Linked DNA regions of Kluyveromyces lactis. The protein of the gene in region 2 interacts with the protein of the main gene of each other region in a biochemical or structural test. Links are inferred from orthologs where the notes say so. Each region holds a gene or a part of one and is shown on either strand. Other genes may lie near its edges. The genes, in order: UBC6 and SSM4.

What was found.
Region 1: the proteins of SSM4 (region 2) and UBC6 form a complex in vitro, tested with the Saccharomyces cerevisiae proteins (4 studies listed by BioGRID, with this or other methods). The link is inferred for Kluyveromyces lactis from reciprocal best matches to the Saccharomyces cerevisiae genes SSM4 and UBC6.

The regions. Positions count from the first base shown.
Region 1 is NC_006041.1:1,813,261-1,816,186, reverse strand, and holds UBC6 (E2 ubiquitin-conjugating protein UBC6), read right to left. Parts: upstream 1,570-2,926; coding exon 814-1,569; downstream 1-813. Other genes in the region: KLLA0_E20417g (uncharacterized protein), read left to right, coding at 1-491; KLLA0_E20373g (ribose-phosphate diphosphokinase), read left to right, coding at 2,239-2,926. UniProt on the Saccharomyces cerevisiae protein: Catalyzes the covalent attachment of ubiquitin to other proteins. Functions in degradation of misfolded or regulated proteins localized in the endoplasmic reticulum (ER) lumen or membrane via the ubiquitin-proteasome system.
Region 2 is NC_006042.1:2,566,112-2,570,379, forward strand, and holds SSM4 (E3 ubiquitin-protein ligase SSM4), read right to left. Parts: upstream 2,951-4,268; coding exon 179-2,950; downstream 1-178. Other genes in the region: SUMO protease ULP2, read left to right, coding at 1-45; KLLA0_F27709g (uncharacterized protein), read right to left, coding at 3,459-4,268. UniProt on the Saccharomyces cerevisiae protein: E3 ubiquitin-protein ligase which accepts ubiquitin specifically from endoplasmic reticulum-associated UBC6 and UBC7 E2 ligases, and transfers it to substrates promoting their degradation.

The DNA.
Region 1 (2,926 bases), on a different chromosome or scaffold from region 2:
AACCATTAAGCGATCTAGTGGCAAGCAATGAATTGGTTGAATATAACAATGAAACTGGAAATTTTATAACTCAACCATTTGGCCAGGGTAGCTTCAATTTAGTTCTTGACTTTATTGGAGGGTATGACATTATCGGTCACTCTTCTTCCATTTTGTCCAAAGATGCTACTTACATCACAACCGTTGGCGATAATAAATCGAATTACAAGAAAGATACTTTTAATTCATGGGGTACTGCAAGTTCTAATATTAGAAAGCTGTTCGGACAGGTGCTATGGTCTTTCGATTATCAAATGTTTTATTTTGATCCAAATGCCAAATTAGCGACAAATGAATGGCCAAAAAAATGTCATGAGCTAATAGAAAGTGAAGTTGTCAAGTTTATTCCTGTAGATAGGGTATATGATTGGAAAGAACATCAAAAGGCATTTTCCTATCTGCAGACAGGCCGTGCACATGGTAAAGTTGTTTTAAAGGTAGAGAAGTTTTGAACTTTAAGCTGCACTTATGAATATGTGCTAATATCTTGCGAAATGAATTTATGAAAAGATGTTGAACGACAAAAATGACCAATGATATGGCTACGGCTTATAATCATTGTGATATTTTTAATTTTGTATGTTTTTTTGTTCTAATTGTCTCTTATGAATTGACTATTTATATATTTTTTATGTAACGCCGTCTTAAATTGTTGAAATCTCAGGTGACGAGATCATATGAACCGCTGTTGTGGCCATAGTTGGAAACATAATATCAATAATACTATACTGTACAACACTTAGAGCCTAGAAGATGCTAACATATTTGATGAACTCATTTCATTATTAAACCGACGAAAAAAATCGCAATAGCCAAGATCAGACAAAGCAGCGATTTGATGTTGCTATTCTCGCCAGGATTTTTATCCTGATCTTTCTTATCCTTCTCGGCCTTTATAAGCTCTTGAATTCTTACTCGATCCTCAGGATCCGAAATGTCGTCTAGTGAAGTTGCTTTCTCCGTGGCTAGTTTCTGTGCTTTATTTTCCTCTTGTTGTGCTCCTTTGGATTCCGCTTCCAAAGCAGCCTCCCTCTCTATGTCCTTAATATTCGACTCTCTTAAATCAGGGAACATATTCTTGAATTTGAAATTGCTATAAGTATTAAAATGTTTCGATTTCTTAGCCAGAGTCCTTTTATCCTTATCAGAGGTTGACACCGACCCCGTTGTCTGTTCATCACCTGTCATGAAACTTAAAAGGCCATTCAATATAGTCACTACAGACCATGCTGGGTTCCACGCCTCTGGATGATAATCACTCATCGAAAGACATAGTCTAGTATTTTCCTTGAATCTGCCGTTAGGCGTAATCATGCGAATCGCCGGTGGATTAAATGGGTAGTCTGAAGGGAAAGTTAACGTTCCATGATATTGACCATTCTCATACGGAGTGCTAGGTGGACCGGTAATCACGTAATGCCATTCTAATATGTTATCTTCATGTGGTGCTGCAATAATGAATGGAGGAGGGTTGTTAACAATGTTCTTGTATTCCTTAGTCAACCTTTTGTTAGCCTGTATACTTGCCATCGTACCTTTTAACACGCAAATATGAGATACTGGGATGGTAACGAGCGATAGATTGGAACTTCAAAACAGGAAACACTTGTGTAAGTCTTTCGCAGCGGACAATATACTGTTCTTGACCTTCCTAGATCCTTCAACATTGCAATACAAAAGCATTCTTTCTCTCATTTTGGCAGAAGATACAAAAAACCTTAAAGTTAAATAAAAGTTTCTTAAATACATAAAAAATTCGATTCAAATGTCAGTGGATTCTCTATAAAAAGGGGAAAATCTGGGGTACTCACCACGAGGAAAAGCCTAACAGCTGAAAGTATTACGACCTAATTTACTATGTTCGCTGAAATGACAGTATTTGCTGCCAACTACTGCTGTCTAGTCTTTGTTTCTGCCAAATATCATTATGTCATGTCACCTTATAGTATTATGTACGGAATATCTAATGGAAGAATGAAAAGCTTTAAACAGAGTTTTTTATCATGAAAAGATACAAATTTGAATGAGTCGAAAATCACATCAAGAAAGTAATTAACTTGTAGATAAGGACCAAAGTCCGAAATAATCAACTATATCGTTTAGACAGTTGCTGTTGCCATATCCAATTTCCATATTTGGTTGCATCTGGTGCTCTGGTTTCGGTTTTTTGGAACGTAATATCTACCATATACATACTGTATGGAAACGAGTAAAAGAATGAGTACCAATAGCATCAAATTATTGGCTGGTAACTCTCATCCCGAGCTAGCTCAGAATATTGCTAGAACCCTTGGGTTGCGCTTGTCCAACATCGGAGTTTACCAGTACTCTAATCAGGAAACTTCTGTCACTATCGGGGAGAGTATACGTGATGAGGACGTGTACATTATTCAAACTGGTACAGGGGAGCAAGAGATTAACGATTTCTTGATGGAATTATTGATTATAATTCATGCATGCAGAACAGCTTCTGCTAGAAGAATCACTGCCGTGATTCCGAATTTTCCATATGCAAGACAGGATAAAAAGGATAAATCTCGTGCTCCAATCACAGCGAAATTAGTAGCACAGATGTTGGAAACTGCTGGATGTGATCACGTCATCACTATGGACCTACATGCTTCTCAAATTCAAGGTTTCTTCCATATTCCTGTGGATAATCTTTACGCCGAACCAAGTGTTCTAAAATATATTCAACATAAAACTGACATCGGTAATGCGATCCTTGTATCGCCTGATGCCGGCGGTGCTAAGAGAGTTGCTTCTCTGGCAGATAAGCTAGATTTGAACTTCGCGTTAATCCATAAGGAAAGACAAAAGGCTAACGAGGTTTCTCGTATGGTGCTTGTGGGTGATGTTACAGGGAAGTCATGTCTATTGATCGATG
Region 2 (4,268 bases):
AAAATACCCAAAGCCAGCTTTTTCGATCAATTTGCATCTAAATAGCTACATATCCTGTTTTCCATCATTTTACTTCCCAGTCGTAAGTAATAAATTTTAATGGTAAGACTAGATAAAATAATTCATTGAATAAAAAAATTTCGCTAATAAATCTATAAAGACATCTTGACTGATCAAACTATTCTTCAAAGTTTTTTAGTATCCTTCCTCTTGCATACACTTCGTCTCTCACACTTTGAGATAAAGAATTGTAAAGCGACTTGGATAAAATTGAGCTCACAGTTAGGAACGCCGAGGAAATCGTCACTACATCAACGTAGTAGAATGCCTTTTGAAATGTAGTCATAAGGGAATGATCTGCCGAGACAGAAGGCTGTATGAAAATGAAATAAACAAATGGTGCCCATGAAGAGGTGTAAACTTGTTTGTGGGTAAGGAATTCAAACATAGAAAAACTATATTGCAGAGCAAAAGGTACCGCAATCATTGCAACGAGGTACACAAAGCATATATCCGTGACCCTAATGAGTAATCTTCTGAATCCTAATGTTTTATTCCGCTTCAAACTGCACTGTACCGCGATGTACGCCACTGCTGCTACTTGACAAAACAATAGAGCAGCTATTAATGAGTAAGCTGAATAGCCGCTGTATTCTGATTTTGATGCGAGGTTCGAAAGGAATGGAACAAACGATATATCAGGGCTTGTGTTTTCGAGAACGTCGCCTTTCCAGTAGAAATCTTTGAAGTAGGTGAATATGAAGACCGAATGATAATTGATATTCAACTTGAAAATGATTGGCATAAAGTAGAATGTAAAGACTGGATACACCATTGTTACAAAGCCTTTGATCAAGTTCCAAACATCACCTTCAGCAATTTCCGGTACTCTAAATTCATTGGCTACTGGATTTTCATCATTTTCGGGAATATTATCATCATTGTGAACTATATGCTGATGATTATCGTCGTTTGGACCGTTATTTGGAACATCCCCATTGTGTTCGGCATTAACCTCCAATATTCTGTCATTTAGATGGATATTATTTAATAGATGTGCGTGGTAGGATGACAAAGCGAGAGACAAAAGTATCATACCAGAAGAAACGGAAAGAAGATTTAATGGTTTTACACTTTCATAGAGTTCATTTTGAAATTTCATTGCTGGGGGGATAACCGCATTCAACAATAATTGCAATCCAGTGATAATGGGAAGCCCAGCAAAATTTGAGATTAATAACACAGCAGTAAACAAAAGGGAAGCAAAGATCCATATGAAGACAATTAACAGCGAATAAGTGAAAGTAAAATGCGGAGGGACATAAACTACCTTATATTCATCAAATTCCGTGGGCTGTTTTTCTAGGTAGCCAAATTCTCCGGCATTTCGTTTCTGTCTTTCTTTGATTTTTTCGATATCCAATGGCTTTAGAAGTTTGTCATCCTTAGTAACTGGGACGAACAACAATTGTGCATATTTTTTTGATATTATGTCGCTCGCAGGTACGCGCATCATGGTGCCATCGGGGACAAAATATGCGTGAACATCAGGAATAGTTTTGAAAAGAGTATAGGTTTCATCGAGCGATTTTGGATGAGAGTATAATTCTAGGTTGGACAGTTTTGCCTTGTTTGGGACGAACCATTTATAGTAAAAGTTCCTATAAATAACATGTCCTCTCTCAGTTGGTGAATCTTTTCCTAAGATGAAAGAGGAAAGTCTTAGTTTTCTGCAGCATATATTGAATACAAAGACCCAATATTGTCTAACATAAGCATCAATAACTCTATTCTTCGAGAGAATGAGATACGTTCCAGCAATGACTGCAATAGAAAACATAGAATTTGGTTTTATGAGAGTTGACAATCCATGCTTCATAGGTAAAAGTTCCGAATGTAAAATGTAAGGAAACAAAAGTCTCGTATGAAATCCAAAACCTACTAAAATGAATGCTGTATAGATTGCCATCGACAATGCAAGTCTGGAGAGTTGAAGTTTCATTGGGTATATCAAAGAATCCTGTAATAGCTTAATATTAGGATCATCTGGTGATCTTATGAAGAAAAGAACACCCGGTCTGATAATATATTGTCTTACCATGCCGACATATTGAGCAAAATGATACATATAAACAGTACCAATCGCCCAATAAATAATAAATGTCATAGGCGGCCAAAAGGAACAAAAACTCGGTACGAAAGTCAAGCTGCTCTGTGGTAATAATAGCGGTGAGATCAGTGACACATCAATCAAAAACCCCGCTAAAATCGGAAATCCGGCAAGTTCAAGTGTAAACAACCCTAGCACTTTCAATGTGCACTTGATGATATAGGAAAACTTGAAAATCGTTCTTTTCAAAGAATTCTTTAGAGGTAGCTTCTTGGAATGCCCTCTAGATAACAGTTCTGGTATACAGCAACAAAGAACTATGAAAGTCGCATATGTACTGGCTGGCGCCAACATTCGTACCAGCATCGTATGTTTTGCTGTGCCTTTCATGTATCCCTGATAGTACGATACTATTGGCATTAAAACTGTCCCATTAATCCAATTTTCAACGTAGGATACCAAAGAAAAAGTTTCTATAAGCTTTTGATTGTATTCTGGGATATTTAACCTCTCTGCTGACACTATTACTCCATTCAGCATTATAATCACAACTCTAAAATAAATGAAATTCAACAGATATCCGACAAGTGTGGCTAAAGCGTATGAAATGAAAAGATATCCACCAATGACAGAAAAGACTAAGGAAAAGTAGCTCGGTAAATATTTGTAATCAAGATTTAAATTCAAGATAGCCGTAGGTTGACCATCTTCATTCTCTAGTACAACCGCTGGTTGAGCATTTATTCCATCTTCTTGTACTTCTCCTTCAACAGGCTGAGGTCGTCCGAGTTGAGCATCCAACCGCCCATCGAGTTCTCTTTGTGCAAAGTGTCTTTCCATAATGGATTGTGAATTAAAAGTACAGTCGATTAATAACTCAGCTAATTGGTAATGATATGAATATGTTGCAGAAGAAATATGATATTGTGATCAGAAGAAAAGAGTAATGCAGGGATCTAATGCGGAAAACTCAAGTTGAAGATTCAGTTTCTATGATATAATTATTCAACTTCAACAGCTATACAATTGTAGCAAAGATTAAATATTGTTAACCTGTTGTACTTAGTTGTGAAACGAGATCAGTCGACGATGTATATACTGATTGTCTGCGCCCATGTTGAAATTTCCTTCTTCAAATTTCAATTTCCATTATAAGCCGGGTAATACCAAATTCATCTTTGAGAATCTAATGGGCTAGCATGTTTTACTAAAGCAAGTGAATGATTTGATGGGACAACGAGGGAATTATATTGTATATAGAAGTTTATTTCGAACTGGAGTGAAGGCTGATGCAATGTTTCAATATGAAGATTATCAATATCGTAAATATTTAAATGGGGGATTATAGTTAGTTGGCAAGCTGAGGCTCATCATTATTTTCGTTTACGATGAAATTGTTCTGTTCTTGTTCGTCTTCTGAAGTATCATCTTCATTTGGATCGTCTTGTCGTTGTCTATTGAGGGCATTTATGAGCATGCTTATATCATTTGGATCCATATTTGGAAATCTTTCTCTTAATGACTGCATGGCCAGCTCTTGTTTTGAAAATCTTGGTCCAATCTTATGCAAGATCATCTTATTGAAAATTGGCTCTCTGACTACCATATCATATTGTAAATATGCGATAGCATGCACGATCAAAACCATCAGAATTTGTAACAACGAAAATCTGTAATTTATCACTAGTTGATATAAAATATCCGTAGTTGTTGGATTTTTTGGTATGTTTCTTTCAAAGCCATAAATCAAATTGATATACCATTTGTTATTTGAAGGAAATGAAAAATCATCCACAGTAGCCGTATATAGCTTCCCCCAGATATTCCAGGACAGGGGAATTCCAATGAAGAAAAGGAACGCAATCAATGTGAATTTGAAATAGTGATTTAATTTGCCAAAGATTTTGAAAACGCTATGTTTCAGAAGAAGTAGAAGTGGGATCTTCTCTGGCATTGATTCATCATACAAAGTTTGGAACGCGATTGGATGATTACAAATCGAACATACCATCCCTGCACCAGGTTTTGTAACATCGACATGTTTTGACTGTAGCCATTCGATCAAACATAATTGATGAATATATTTGATGGAGCCTTTGCACTTGCATGGATGGAACAACGGATTATCGGACGTTCCTTCCAGCATACAAATACGGCA